Rhinolophus ferrumequinum: one gene and its partner. Each later gene encodes a partner of the first gene's protein in a complex. Links are inferred from orthologs where the notes say so. Each region holds a gene or a part of one and is shown on either strand. Other genes may lie near its edges.

What was found. The genes of interacting proteins can lie anywhere in the genome.
Region 2: the proteins of SERPINA10 (region 1) and PROZ are in contact, whole or in part, in a crystal structure (PDB 3H5C), measured with the Homo sapiens proteins. The link is inferred for Rhinolophus ferrumequinum from reciprocal best matches to the Homo sapiens genes SERPINA10 and PROZ. Residues at the interface, in NP_001094077.1 of Homo sapiens: Arg88, Lys89, Ser91, Met92, His94, Asp95, His257, Asp259, Lys260, Tyr261, Asn282, Phe283, Lys305, Met306, Asp308, His309, Leu310, Ala311, Leu312, Asp314, Tyr315, Leu316; in NP_003882.1 of Homo sapiens: Cys129, Pro131, Cys141, Leu142, Pro143, Ser151, His250, Met251, Arg252, Asp254, Ala257, Glu259, Asn260, Glu284, Lys285, Asp286, Phe287, His290, Leu291, Thr336, Thr337, Arg338, Arg390, Ser392, Leu393, Trp394, Gln397.

Annotation. Positions count from the first base shown.
Region 1 is NC_046289.1:8,842,528-8,850,448, forward strand, and holds the start of SERPINA10 (protein Z-dependent protease inhibitor), read left to right. Parts: upstream 1-4,918; 5' UTR 4,919-4,942; coding exon 4,943-5,000; intron 5,001-5,108; exon of another isoform or gene 5,109-5,215; intron 5,216-7,459; coding exon 7,460-7,921. UniProt on the Homo sapiens protein: Inhibits activity of the coagulation protease factor Xa in the presence of PROZ, calcium and phospholipids. Also inhibits factor XIa in the absence of cofactors.
Region 2 is NC_046287.1:55,685,177-55,692,641, forward strand, and holds the start of PROZ (vitamin K-dependent protein Z), read left to right. Parts: upstream 1-4,362; 5' UTR 4,363-4,440; coding exon 4,441-4,501; intron 4,502-7,465. Other genes in the region: F10 (coagulation factor X), read left to right, coding at 1-179. UniProt on the Homo sapiens protein: Appears to assist hemostasis by binding thrombin and promoting its association with phospholipid vesicles. Inhibits activity of the coagulation protease factor Xa in the presence of SERPINA10, calcium and phospholipids.

The sequences.
Region 1 (7,921 bases):
CCACAGTTCATATAGAAAAATAAATGTGCAAGAATATCGAGGAAAAGACTGAAAAAGAAGAGATATGAAGGGTGGGGGTAGGAGAATAGGGGACAAGTCTGACCAGATATTAAAGCATGTAACACAGATTCTTTAATTAAATCTGTGGTACTGGTACATTAATAGATAGGCAGACCAGTGAAATAAATAGGTTAGAATGTCTGGAAATAGACTCAAGTACAATGGAAATTTGATATTTGATCAAGAAGGACTTTTTAAATAAATGATGTTGGGACAACTGGATAGCCATTTTAAAAAAAAAAAGGATAAAATTGGACCCATTCCTCATACTAAAAACAAGAAGCCTTCTTTCCAGGTTTGTTTTTCATATTGGAATTCGTATAGCAAATGTGACAATATTTACAGTAGTCCCCCCTTATCTTCAGTTTCACTTTCCGCAGTTTCCAACTGCAGTCCAAAACTATTACATGGGAAAATTTCACGTCACTTCATCTCATCACGTAGGCATCTGCTTCTTGTGTGGCAAGGTCACAAGAAGGAGCAGGGTGAATATGGTACATACGGTAAGATATTCTGGGAGAGGACACATTCACGTTACTTTTACTCTGGTATATTGTTATGATCGTTCTATTTTATTACTTTGTTAATCTCTTACTGTGCCTGATTTATAAATTAAACTTTATCGTAGATATGAAGGCATAGGAAAAAACATAGAATATATAGGGTTTGGTACTATCCACATTTTCAAGCAACCACTGGGGGTCTTGGAACGTATCCCCTCCGTGGATAGCGAGGGGCTACTGGATGTGTTTTGTAGGGTTGAGCATGAAGAGGGATGCATATATGGAACGGAGAAAGCAAGGAAGAGTCCTGGGGAGTAGGATGTGAACTACAGGCATGAACTCGTGGTTTCTAGTATATTTCTAATATATATATACCTGGCACAATCTGAACATCTAAATAAATAAATATATGCACACATAGACATAATATAATAAAAACAGTAATGGATTAAATGCATTGAATGAAATCAAGAGTTCAGGAATCCCTACTGAGAATGCTGATAAATATGAAAGGAATAATGGATTTAGACTATCATACTGAAAATTGATTCAGCAAAGAATATTCAATGGATGCTAAATCTGGGGGCATGGAGAGTTTCATGAACAGCAGGGTATTTAAGTTTATTTCAAAGTATCTCCTCACAAAATACTAATTAAAAAAGGAGAAATGGTAGCTATGTATTGGAGAAATGGACATCAACTTAACCAAGTCATTAAAATTCACAGCACCAATTAGGGACAGACATCAGAGGCCTCTGGATGTGATACTCTGAGATGGTCCCAATACTTGTTTCTATTCCTGCCAAAAATGAATAATCTCAGGCTAATCATGGGGATACATCAGAATCACCCAAATTGACAATACTTATAAAACAGTTGGCCTCCACTTTTCAAAATGTCAACATAATGGAAGACAAAGGAAGGGCTGAAGAACTGCCCCAGATTCAAGGAGACGAAGGAGACATGGCATCAAATGCAGTCGATGGCCCTGGAGCGGGTCCTATTACTGAATATGAAAATGCCACAAAGGACATTACTGGGGCAATCGACAAAACTGGAATGTGACTGTAGCTCAGGTAATGTAACAAAATTAAATTTCTGGGATTTGATAATTCGATACTGCTTACATAAGAGAATATTCTCATTCTCGGGACTACCTAATCACTTCAAATGATTCAGAATAAGACAATGCGTGGAGGGGCATGCAGATATAAATAGAGAGAGAGAGAAGGGAATTGTAAAACATACGTGAAAAGTGTTTAAAAATTAGTGAATCTGGGTAAAGGGTGATAGTTCTTTGGAACTATCATTGCAACATTATTACCTTGCTTGGAATTATTTAAAAATAAAAATTTTAAATTAAAAGCTGAAATAAATAAGTGATGACCAGCAGCACAAAAGGAAAATAAGGAAAGGCTATATAACCAGACAGAGAAGAGTCAAGAACAGCTGTGTGCACGCGGTGTGCATGTGTGTGCGCGTGTGCTGCTGGGGGCGTTGTGTTTCCTGCCTGTGGGGAGTTCCAGGAAGGGCTGTTCTCTTGCCTCGGCATTTAGTCCAGTCACCAGAGGCCTTCCTATCAGATCTTTCCCAACCTTTCTCTACAGACGTGAGTGATAAGCTGAAATCCAGGGCAAACCGGAAGTCAGGTAGCCTGACGCTGTTCTGGTTCCCACACTGGCAGGAAGACCTTAATGGCCATGGGTCTGCATTTTCTCCTCTGTAACGTCCAAATCGGGGTTCTGGGTGCATTCTGCTCTAAAATTATACGACAAATACCATTCCTTAGCCCTTCCTACCAGGTATCAAGCTCTTTCCAGGCACAACCTCATTGCATCCTCACAACAGTCCTTACCACTCAGGCTTGGCAGCCCCATTCTGCAGATCAGGAAACAGAGCCAAAGGGAGGTTAAGGAGCTGCTCCTGGTCGCACAGCTGGCGAAAGAGCTCAAGCTACGGTGGTTGGCACTGAGTTTGAGGTTCTGGGAGCAGGGCAGGACTCGTGTTCTCGCTGAAGGAAGAGACTTTGTGAGCCACACTTCCTGGGGCCAGGGCCCACGGCCTTGGGAACGATGTTTTCTATCAGCTTCCTGCTTCCTAGCTGCTCTGAGATTTGCATCGGCCAGAGGCTCAGTTCTGGCCGTTTTACAGAGGGGGAAGCAAGCTCAGAGGCTGGATTACATGCCCAAGGTCTGGCAGCTAGGAATTTGGAGGACTCGGGTTTCCAGCCCAGAGGTGTCTGACGTACACACTCTTTCCAGTACATTCTGCTGCCTTCTTTATAAAGATCCATTTCTGAATGGCAGCAGTTTTAAGAGCGTTCCAGATGCTCAAATGCACCTCAATGACTTTTACATCCCTTCTGAAGCCCCCGTGACCACGGCCGTGCCTCACAGCATTCACACGCCTGCTTCCTCGCAGACATTTGGCAAAGGTTCCATACCCCAACCTGCAGGAAGCAGTCCTGCCTCCTCTGTCTGAGGTTCTGCCTCTCGGCTGCAAGGCACAGCGGACGACAGGCCAAGGGGCTCTTGTGCTGTCTGAGCGGAGAAGTCCAGGCCAGCTTTGCTGTCTACACTGCCACCTCTTAAGGAAGGGCTTCTCCATAGAGCAGGCACTGCCCCAAAGGAACATTCTGGAAACTGGTTGGGGCACTTCTGATGTTCACAAACCTTTGGAGGGCGCTACTGGGATTCAGTGAAGACGGCCAGAGATTCCAGACATACTGGAATGTTCAGGACTGTCCACCACAGTAAAGTGGCCCAGGTCCCACATGATGGAACTATCCCACACCAAGCTCACACGGGTGAAAACCCCATTCATAGGTGTAGTGCGGGGGATCCTGCCGACTTCGCCGTGTGTCATGCAGGGGACTCTGCTCTCTGGACCAGTTGTCATGCAGGGCGGCCTGCGGGGTCTCTGGTCCCGCTCCCCACATAAGAACGCAGGACATGGTGAGGCCGAAAAGGAACACCCACGGAGCCATAGGTAGGGGAGTCATATTACTATATTCTCGCTGGCGGCTGGATTGGAGACACAGGGACCAGGAGCCACACAATTCTCAACCCTCACTGCGCCACTTGCAGGCTCAGCCCCCATCTTCTTGCTAGGCCCCACTTGCTGCTAGCGTAGCCACGCAGTTATATTAGTGGCCAATGGCTCACTGGTTACAGCTGGCGGCCAACTAGCCACAGCTGATGGCCATTTGATCACAGTCGACGGCCATTTACTACCTGAGCCAGCACCTTTCTACGTGAGGCCGAGAGCCTGGAAACTGCTTTTTGGGGCTCTGTCCCCACAATAGGTTATCCGACGGGTGTTTTATTTCATATGAAAACACCGTTTCCTCCCAAGGTTTTAATTCCCACTGAATTTCCTGTGAAGACAACCATGTAAATCAGAGGAAGATTTATATTTGCTTTGCTTCCGTTTTCTTTTTGTTTTTAACTTTCCCAAACATGATTCGCCATTGCAGACAATCACATGGCTGGTAGTAATCCTGGTGATAGCCTGTGCAGCGCTGAGGGTCTCCGACTGGCCCCGTGTGCGGCGGCGTCCGCTCAGACTTCCAGTGCAGTTATGCCAGAGCGTCTACATGTTAAAAGAAACACTATTTCCTTTTAATTTACTTTCACTTCCCCTCCATATTGTGGCTCAAGCAGTATTTTGCTTTTTTAAAAATGTCGTGGGTATGTTATACTAACTATACTTTTCACTGCAGGATAGTGAGGGGCACATAAAATATTTGTGTTATCAAAAGGGGTGTCTAATAGGTCTGAGATTTTTGTCTTAAAGGGTCTCCAGTACTCTTGACTTCAGGTCCTTGAGGATTCCAGTCTCATGAGTCTGGTAAAGCAGTGGGTTGACCTTGAAATGACTTTGTATTGCTAATAGTGATTTACATGTCCTTTTCTCCCACTGGACTGAAAGTTCCTTTGGGGGGGTGGGGTTTCAGGGAAATAGTTCCTGTCATCTCTGCCCCGCCCCCACGCAGTGCCCAGCCCTGAGGTGGGGACTCAGGAGGCCTGGTGGGAGCCCCCTTCCAGCGCTCAGTGCCCGAAGCAACTCCATCTCCCTGGAAGCTGGAGTTGAGAAGCAGGAGTTCCCCTGGAGAAGTTTCCGTCCCATTCAGTGTTGGAGGAGCAGCTGGGGAAGATGGGAAGCCTCTCTGCCTTTGCTTTTCCAGAAACGCCACCATCTCCCAGCAGGATGTTAATCAGTAACGGTCCCACAGGACCATCCTTTGGAATAGCAAATATTTGCTGCAGGCATTTGGCTGCAAACCCTCGCCTTCTGGTTTTCCTTGAATGAAGGACCTTCCCTGGCACCTGGGGGCCACTCACCGGTAAGAAGCAGCCATTTAAAGGGAGGCCTTCGCAATGTCTAACGGCGAGGGCTGGGGAGACACATCCTTGTCCTCTCTGGATGGGTTCCAAGGTGAGGGGGAGGGAGCCTGGGCAGCACCGATCCCCCACTCCTAGCTTGGGGAGGGCAGAAGGGGGGCACAAAGCATGTTGTGGACACAGGGGCCTTCCGCTGCAGGGAGGAGGTGAGACGATGAGGCTTTTAAGGCTTGAGAGTTCATGTCCACAACACTCACGTGGAAGCCACACTCAAGTCCCTGACTTTCCTCCAGGGACCCTCCTGCTCAGGTGAGCGAGCTCCCCACTTTCCGGGCTGGGTGGGGGTGCTGCCCAGGTACATTCAGGGCTGTGGAGTGTTGAGTGGTTGATTTCCTACCACTCAGCTTCTATTTAGGATGATGCACCCATGGTGTGCTTGATGGCACCCTAGTGCTCGAGGGCTGCCCCTGCATTCAGATCCTGTACCATTCAGTTGATGAACGACGCTAGGGGGGGATACGTAGGACTGTCCATGTATTCCTGGGCTGCCACCCCAGACGGAGCTACACGGTAAGACTTAGCAACCGGAAGGGGTGACATCTGTCTGCTGCGCGGGAAGTGTTTCCTGACAGCTGTCACAGAGAGAAGTGAGCTGCATTCAGGAGTACCCTGCTGTGGAGGTGATTTATTAATTTACAAAGCAGGGCTAACTACTGTATGCAGGAAGACCTCGGAGGTGCTGTGCGTACTGGGGTTCCAGACCACCGCAAGAGAGTGAATATTGTGACCGAGAGTCACGTGAATTGTATAGTTTCCCAGTGCATTTATAAAAGTTACGTTTACAGTATACTGCAGTCTGTTAAGTGTGCACTAACTAGTATTATGTCTAAAAAAACAATATACATAATGTAATTAAAAAATACTTTATTACCCAAGAAATACTAACCATCATCTGAACCGTTAGTGAGGCTTAATCTTTGTGCCAGTGGAGGGTCTGGCCTCCACGGTGATGAGAAGGCAGTATCTGCGAAGCGTGGCAAAGCAGAGCGCAAGAAAATGAGGTCTGCCTGTATCATGAAGGCATGAGCCTGGGGTACGTTTGGGCAATGTCGGAGGTCCTTACCCAGCAGTCCCAATGTTGGCGTGAGCTACTGAACAAGGCTGGCCATTTAAAATTGATCAGGATTCTGTAAACACAGACATTTACGAAACACAGCAGAAGTGTTTCCTGAGTCGGGCAGTGGCTTCAGGCTGTGGGATGAGTGAGGTCCTGAATTATGTGGCCCTGTTCAGCATAAGGAGCAGTGCACTGAGTCCTGGGGCCCGGTGTCACTTTGTACCAGGCACAGACGAGGACACAGCCCCCTGCATCAGAAATAGGCCTGGGGACTTCATCCTGTCACCACCTTTTGCTACAGGTGGCCTGATTCAGAATGAGGGTCTCTGCTGATGGGAACGCCCGTGAGCTCTGCAGCCTCCCCTGCTCTGTGCCCTGGGCTCAGTGGTCCCGCCCCACCCAGGCCGTCCTGGGGCAATGAGCCTAGAGAGAGTGTGTGTGCATCTGGGTGACCAGTCAGCCTCTGGGTCACAGGCCTGGTGCTATCAGCTGAACATCAGGAACTGAGTGTGGAGACTGCGGAGGGACACAGCCCAGCCCTCAGGCGTTTATTCAGATGGAAACTGTGCGGGTGCTCGTGTTTTCCAGGCTCTGTGCCCAAGGATGCCAGGGAGCCCGGAGAGATGGGTAGTGGTGAGGAGGGCGGGATTTGAAGGCCCACTGCCGGTACTGGAAGGTTGGCTCCACCATGTAACCTGGGGCGGTGAGAGCGAGGACACACTCCACAGGTCACTGTGAGGATTAGATGAGTTTAACCCAGGCCTCTGCTGGACAAGCTGGCTCGTCATCATCTCTATCCTAGGGAGCTCCGGGGTAGTGAAGGAAGGGAGACCTGCAAGGAGGTGTAAGGGGCCCCAGGGCTGGGTGGAGTGGTGGAGCAGAGGGGTAGGGGAGAGACTTCTGACCACCCAAGCAGGCAAATGCAGCACTTTCCCTTTTCCTGGTCCTGATCACCACCGAGACCCTCTAAATCCCCAGCCAAACATGCCCCAGACACAGGTCCCCGAAACCCAGCTCGATGGGCTGCTATAGGGCCCAGCAATCAAGGGCAATGAATGAAACAGATCGATAAAAGGTCTGTGAAGACCCCCTGACCCAGGCCCTGCTCTGACCCACACCCAGTCAGGGCTGCAGGCCAGAGCATGTCCTGTCCGGGAGGAAGTGGAACGCATGGAAAAGTTGGGGGAGGCCAGCTGCCCAAGGGCTGGCAGGGGATGGGAGGTGGAGGAGGTTTTGCTCTGTGGAAGAATCTCCTCATCACGTGAACAAATAGCACCCCCACTTGCTCCAGGTCTCCCTGAGGGAACTTGGCTGCATGAGCCAAGCCCCAGCCCCCCACAAGAAGGAAGCGGGGTCACTGGAGGGTTGTATCATGACACAGGCAGGAGTTACTGTATTAGGCATTAAAAATAATCTCTGCTTTCTTTTCTCCCAAGGCTCGCTGCTGAAGAAAAGTGCTCCATTGGCCTCCACAGCTGAGCAAATGAAGGCAGTGCTGAGCCTCCTGCTCCCCTGCCTCCTGGCCGACGTGTGGCTGGTGCCTGGTTTGGCCCCTGGTCCCTGGTCACCAGAGGCCCAGGCAGAGCCAGAGACTCTGCAGCCCCCCACTGCCCAGAACGAGACCACCAAGGGAGTGCAGCCTGCTGAGGGGAGGGACGAGACCTGGCTGACGGCCAGCGGGCAGCAGCTCTCTGAGGAGTCCTCCAACTTGGGGTTCAGCCTGCTTCGAAAGATCTCCATGAGACACGAAGGCAACGTGGTCTTCTCCCCGCTGGGCCTGTCCTCTGCCATGGCAGTCCTGACGCTGGGGGCCAAAGGGCAGATGAAAGCCCAGCTGGAGAGCGGGCTCCGCCCCCAGGCCCAGAACCAGACCTGGCCCTGGCTCCTGCCAGCCCTCT
Region 2 (7,465 bases), on another chromosome or scaffold:
GGGACAGTGGGGGCCCCCATGTCACCCAGTTCAAGGACACCTATTTTGTCACCGGCATTGTCAGCTGGGGTGAAGGATGTGCACAGAAAGGGAAGTACGGAGTCTACACCAAGGTCACCAACTTCCTCAAGTGGATCGATAGGTCCATGAAAGCCAAGGCCAAGGCCCAGGGTGGGTGAGGGGTCCCGAAGCCTCCCCCCATTAAAGTGATTGTCTGAACAGTTGCCATTCTGAACCGGCTGAATCCTGGAGTAGGTGTCCTATCTGCAGTGGTTAATGTCAGTTCCTTATCCTGATTTTGTTCTTGTTCTGTTATAGTGGGACATGAAATTTTCATTTGGAACTGTAGATCCTGCCTTTGCTCCTTGCCAGGTTGGGAAATTGCTTCAGGAAATGTTATACTTTGTAGGACAGGGGTCTAAACGCCCCAAGATGACTGCTGTGCTCAAAACCATGACAGGGCTATTTCCATTCATAGTATGTTTTTCTGTTTCTGACTGAGCTAAACTGACTTCTTGGCCAGTCATACTCAGCACACTTGAGAATAAATGATCAAGGTTCTGGGAGTACAGAGAGAAGACGCCGCAGAGGTCGGGGCCAGCCCATAACTAGGAGGCCTCACCCTGGGGTCGGGGTGGGGGTTCCCCACGTGTGCCGGTGTAGGCTCCCCAGGCCCCTCATTTACCATCTGGGACTGAGAGAAAGGTGAAATGTGTCTGTCAGGAGCCTCCTGGGAAGGGAAGGCCGTGAGAGCTTCTCGTGGGCAAGGACATTTTAACATTGACTTAACCACTGGTTCTTCTTTCTGGCTTCACGCTAGAATCACCTGGGGCACTTTTAAAGTGTGCCCAGGCCCCGGCCCACCCTGGCACAGTCTCCTGAGCAGCTTACATGCCCACCAGTCCCCAGACCAGGGGACTCTGGAGTCCTTCATCCAGGCCACAGCCCAGAGCACTTAAACTGGAGTCCATGGGGTGGGCATATGCCCCTGAAGTTTCTACAGCTCCTCAGGTGGCCTCCAAGTGTGTGATGTGTGCTGGCAGGGGCTGCAGGAGGGATCCCCTGTCCTCAACTGGGTCATGTCTAAATGCCAGCTCCTTCGCTGTCACTGTCCACACTGGCTCCGGAACCTGCACTTAAGTGGTCATGAAAACAAAATATGCTTTTAGAAAATGGAAAAGGTCACCTCAGACCAGACCTGCCAGTGTATGTTCCAAATGTCCCTGTACAGTTTGCGTAACTTTGCTAAGCAAAGTCTCAAAGTCCCACTACAAAAACTCCCCAAAATGTCAGCAGCTTTTTTTTTTGTAAACAGGAGATATTGCAAGGTTAGAGTGTTTTGTAAACAAGAGACATTGCAAAGGTAGAAAAATCAATGTGGGCAAGTATAATTTCCCAGAAACAGTCTGAGGTGAGCGGGAAAAGCCGAGGGTGATGATTCTCCTCTTGCTGCCTTGACTCCTAAAAGTGAGCCACTGCCGAGTGGGCACCAGAGGCCCTTCCTGGGGAAAAGGCCTCAGCCAGCAGGAGACCATCCTGTTGTCAGGTTGAGGGTTTTCTATGCAGCTGAGTGGTCTATGTCCAGAGGCAAACCGTAAAGTTGGGTTCTTATTTCTGGAGATCAAAGGTTGTTTGGGGTCCAGAGAGAACTCGGGAAGATTCACAAATAAAACACACCTTCCCTGTTGCTATTTGATCTCTCACTGTTGGCCACTATTATTGGTGATTGAGTTCATGTATCAGAGAGGAAGGGAAACTGAGGTAGAACAGAGGATGACGCTCCATCGCTTCCATGGGGCTTCTTATCTCCCTCAGCCAGAAGCAGAATTCAATTCAGTGAGGTTCTAGAGGAAATAAGGTAAAGAGATGCAGTTCGGTGCCGTAGGGAGGGCCCTGGCCTGGGCCTCACAGATGAGGTAATCCAGGTCTGCTCATTCCTGTGTGCCCGGGAACAACTTACCTCCCTCGTGGAGTACCACTGTCTTCATGGCAAAATGGAGCTAATGAAGCCACCTCAACTACCTGTCAACCCTCAACATGGTGCCAGGCTTGTGCGTGAAGGGACATTCCCTTATTTGGTATCAAGAGAACTTCCCTCAGGGGCTGCTTGGTGTGGAAGGTGGGGACTTGAGGGCATAAAGATCAGCAGGAAGCCAAGGGTGGGGAATCAAAGAAGGGGAGAAAGGAAGGGTTTGACATTTTTCTCCTGAGCGTGAGGGAGAGGCTACGATACTACCATAAAAACCATCTCCTCCCCAGACACTGCCACCACCACTACACGCACGCACGCACGCATGCTCAGTTCCTGAGGGCAGAAGAATGAGGTGACAGCCTGGGAGCACAGTGACCCCATAACATGGAGTGGGTTCTGGATGGTGTTATGAGGTTTGAAAGGGCAAAGAGGTCCCGCCTCGCGTGAGATAGGAGGCAAAGGAGAGTGCCATCTGGCTACATGGGGGCCGACCCAGCACTGCTGCTTCTAAACCACAGTGGTAGTGGGTTGGCAAGAACACAGGTGACCCTGCACATGCTTCTGGGGTGCTGGCTCACTGGGGGGTCTGTGTGGTCCTGAGGTCCTGCTTACAGGCGTGGGGCACAAGGGCTGAGGCCTTTTAGCAGGATGAGCAATGGGACCACGGGGGCTGCTTTCTAAACTGGAACGGGACAGCTTAAATTTCTATTTTAGCAGGTCGCCTACTGCTGCTACTGCCACCACAGGAGTCACTGATTGAGGCAAGCCATCAACCAACACCTAAATCCTGGTGGAAAAGTCCTTGAGAAACAAGCTATTCATAGTCTCAGGGCATGGCCCCAGAAGTGACTTTTCAGTTACAAACAGGACAGGATAGCTTTATAATGGGGAGATCTGCTGGTCACATTATTCAAGTGACCAGGTACGAGTTCACCAACAACGAGACCACAGACGTGTGCCCTGACACAGGGCACTGGGAAGGACGCGCATCACCGATGCAGGGTTCCCCCGCAGCCTAACGTGAGAGGTCAATCGGGCAAATCCAGCTGAGGAAGGCCTGGGCGCTCCAAAAATGTCAGTGTCAAAAACTCCAAAACGCCCAGGAAACTACATTAAATGAGACTTTGAAGGAAACAAACAGGATGCAGTGCGAGAGAAGGACGGAGGCAGGGGGTTTCCACCAGATGTTCCTTAACAGAAGGGAATCCCCTCATCTATGGAGGTGTAAGGGAGAGAAGGAAAGAACAGAGGGACAGAGAGAGACAGCAGAGACACACAGAGAGACAGAGAAAGACAGAGGCAGAGAGGCAGATGCAAAGAGAGCATTCCCGGGGGTGGGGGGCAATGCGCTGTGCTGATCCACCCCGTGAGTGTGTAACCGAGAATTAGTATTAGAGTCGAGTATGGGGTGTGAGTTTGCTGTCCTGTCACACAACGCTCAGAGTATTTATCATCTCGTAATTCTCAGTTTAAAGACACCCTTGGTTCTGACAAAATGTCCCCTAGGTCCACTCCTCCAGGTGGCACTTAGCACCGCAGGAAACCTGGCTGTGCAGGTCTCACCAAGAGGTGGGTGAGGCCCCGTGCTGTGGTCTGCTTTCTAGCCTTTTACAGAAAAATTGGCTGACCCCTGGCCCACCCCTTCTAAGGTCAGGTTCACTCTCCCATCTCGAGTCCTCTACTGCCCTCCTACGGATGCCCTCCTGCCACACCAGCCTCCGTGCTGCGCCCTCCCTCAGGGCTCCGTCACTCTCTGTGCCTTGGAGGGTCTCCCCGTTAGCGCACTGTGTTCAGGTTTCTCTCCCAAAGGGAGGCTCTCTGGCCTGGACCCCTTTATCCACTCCCCTTTTCTGGACATCGAAATTTGACATTTCTCCCTCCCTAATCCTCCCTCTCCCACTCCCAGGCTCTCTCTACCTCCCTGCCTCCCTGTATCCCAATCCCTCCTGTGTGCCTCCCACCCATCTAGAATGTAAGCTCCAGGCCACTGTCTTGCTCACTGCTGTATCCCCAGGCCCAGAACACCTGGCCAGGGGAAGCCCACCTGAGCTTTGTTACTCGGGGCTACATGCATCTCTTAGATCTCTCAGTCCATCACCTTATTTCCCTGGACAGGACCTCTTGACTTCACTCCAGAAATCTACCCAGCTGTGTCTCCTTAAATACCTCACCAAAGCCCTCTTTGCCTTAGCTTTTCATTTCTCTGCCTTTTCTTCCCTCTTTGCTTTAAACAGAAAAATACAGAACCGAAGCGTATGTTTATTGAATTTGTTCAATAAAACTCCATGCGAAATGTACTCCCAACAGGGAGCACTTCTTTTCTCATTTCCGGCTTCTGTCTCCGGCGTGGCTACGTGTTTTAGAGCTGCTGGTCATTTGAAGCAGCCCCCCCCCTGTGTTGTGAGCACGGCCCAGGGCGGACTTTGGCCTCTGTGCTGCCAGACCTGTCCCTCAGCAGCCCGGAGGGAATGGCAGGCTGTGTCCAGCTGCTCCTGATCCTCCTGGTCTTCCAGAGCGCCGAGCCCTCAGGTAGGCATCTGCTTCCGGACCACGTCCCTTTTCACAGTGTGGGTTGGGCCGAGTGGGTGTTTCCTAGGGCAGGCGAGGCCCTGAGGGACCAGCATGGACTTAACTCAGCCCCCTAAAGAGTCCCTCCTGGTCTCTTTATCATTCGTGACGAATATGTTGGCAATGATGGTGGGGTCTCCCAAAAGCAGGAAAAATTAGATGTGTGAGAAGTTGAGTAAGTGGCTCAGGCTGAGGGGCCCAGGACTGGGCAGGCGGACAGACTGACCTTGGTGGTGAGGGTGGGGGCGGGGGGCCACATCCCGCAGCTGCTTCTCTAGGGGAGACAGAAGCTGCACCGCATCACCTCCGCAACCCTGCACCACCAACTATAAAGCTGAGAATCAAACGGCCTGGTGCCCTGTGGCCCAGGGGTCCCCAGACCCCATGGCGACTGCACTTTTCCCTAAGACGGACCTGGCAAGGAGGCTCCTTGACTCTGCTCCAACGCATGGCAGCTGGAAGACTGGGGAGAATCTGTGCCTTTGTGTCCCTGTGACAGTCAGCTCAGGAAGTAAGAGCCCACCCATTACTCTATGGGAGAAAAGGCTCCAACAGCCATTTCCGCAAGTCAACTCGTTTGACTTTCTCCTTTTGAGGGAATTATGAGCCCTGCCACCATTTTAAAATGTCTTCATTTCATATTATCAAGACATTAAATATTATACGTGGAGGCACTTGGTCTCTAGACCTCGGAAGCCTCATTGTGGGTCCATCTGTCACTGTCGCCCTTAACATTCCTTCCCATTCTGTCATGTCCTCCCCTGCTCTGCTCTCCCAGCCTTGTAAATGCAGCTTCATTTCCCCAGCAGCCTCAGCCAGGTAAGGAGTCAGTCAGCACCCTCACCCTTCAGCAGCCTCCCGGCCCCTTCTGCCAAATGCATTGGCCACTGTCAACCTCTCTCAGAGCCCTGGAAACAGGGTGGGTCCGAGGTGAGACTGCTGTGAGCTCCAAACACACTGGATTGCGAAGATTTAGCACAAAATAAGAATGTAAACTTGAATTCATAGTTTTTAACAGTTGTATTCACCATTATATGGTGAAATAATATTTTGGATCTATTGGGTTAAATAAGTATATTATTAAAATTATTTTCACCTCCTGGTTTTGCTTTTTAAATATGGTGCTGAGACACTTCGCTGACACCCGGGGCTTTCATCCATTCCCCTTGGGCAACACAGCCCAGGGCAGCCAGGTCTCCAACGGGCCCACAGCAGCTTGCCCACCCTTACCAACTGCACAGTCTACACAGCAAATAGCGTGACTGGGAAACACTAAGCCGGTCATATTCCTCCGCCAGTTAAAACACTTAGAATAAAATCCAAAACTCTTCACGTGTTGTGCTCATTACAGTTCAGTTTGTCTGTGAGTAGGAGAGACCCACAAGTAACATTATACAGTTTCCAATACTGTATATGGCCTTATACAACATGAAACAATCACAGTAGCTGAAACATGAGGATTTGTGAAATTTCGGTTCTAGAAGAGCTGTGGATCAGATACCCAGAAGAAAAACGCTCCTGATAAAAACTGAAAGTAGACTAAATGTTTTATATCGTTTTAAATATATGCATCACTGGGCTGGCACAAAGGGAAGAAATCAACGGAAGCCAAAGAATAAAATAAAAGAAAGGTGAGCATGAACTAAACGGTCACCCTCAGGTTTCTGCTGGACCCTGGAATCTCACAGTCCCAGGAGACTCCACATCATCCCAGCAGACAGGGCTCAGCCCTCCACACAGAGGAACAAGAAACAAATTCACCAACTGGATATTGGCACTGGGTACAGAAAGAAAAACATCTCTCAAGAATCAGTCGCTACAGTTTGGCCCAGTGGTCTGGAAACCCCAGTAATCTGGTGTCACATCCGCCTGTATGGGAAGTACCCACCTTAAGAAAGGGAGGTGCAGATCCTCTCTGGAGAAATCCACTTTCATTCTGGGCCCCAGATAATTCCAACCCCTAACGTTCTGAAGAAAACGGGCCATTCATGGTAAAAGAAAAACAACCCCAAACACACAAAGAAACAAGACAACCGTGAACCGAAGGGAAAAGAATAGAATCAGACCTTAATGTTCAGACACAGAACACAAAATAAAAGTTCAACCCGTCTTAAGAAACATGTGATAAAAATATGAGAAGGAAATGAGAGGCATTAAAATGCTCAAACACATGTGAAAAAGAACCAAATTTTTAGAACTTCTGAAATGGAAAATATATTAACTCAAATTTTTGAATCAGTTAAATTCATAAAAAGTGGGAGAAGAGAAAGTTCTCTTTACAACAGAATGCCAATTAGTAATGTGGAAGAAATGAGAGTTATAAAATCAGTATTTTGCAATTATAATGGTAATAACTGATTCAGGAAAAACAACCAAGGATGCTGAAACCATTCCGTTAAAAACTATTGGGTAACAGGACACTCAGTCTCAAAGTATCTCTCTTGCAGTGGAGAAATCTGTGGGTACAATCTGTACAGTGTCCTCCAAACTTCATGTTCACCCAGAATCTCAGAATATGGCCTTATTTGGAAATAGGGTCATTGCAGATGTAATCAGTTAAGAAGAAACCATCCTCAATTAGGATGGGCCCTAAATCCAATGACTGGTGTCCTTATAAGGAGGCTCACCATTCAGTCCTCCTTCATATGCAGAATGACGCTCAGAGCTCCAACCCCACCTATGTCTCAGGCAGCAGGATGGAGGGAGCGACAAAGAAATGGCCACACCAGTTGTCTTTCAAGAAGGTTTCCAGGCAGCTGGAAATTGGAGCCTCTTGTTCTATGCCAGAGGATGATGACTGAGGACAGCCCCTCTCAAGCCCTCCTTCCACCCCCTTTCATCTCTATGGTCCAGAGCTATGATGCTGTTCCCTGCCTTCCTCTTGCAGAACAGGCCTCTGCCTTGGTCTAAAATGTGCTCCACTTC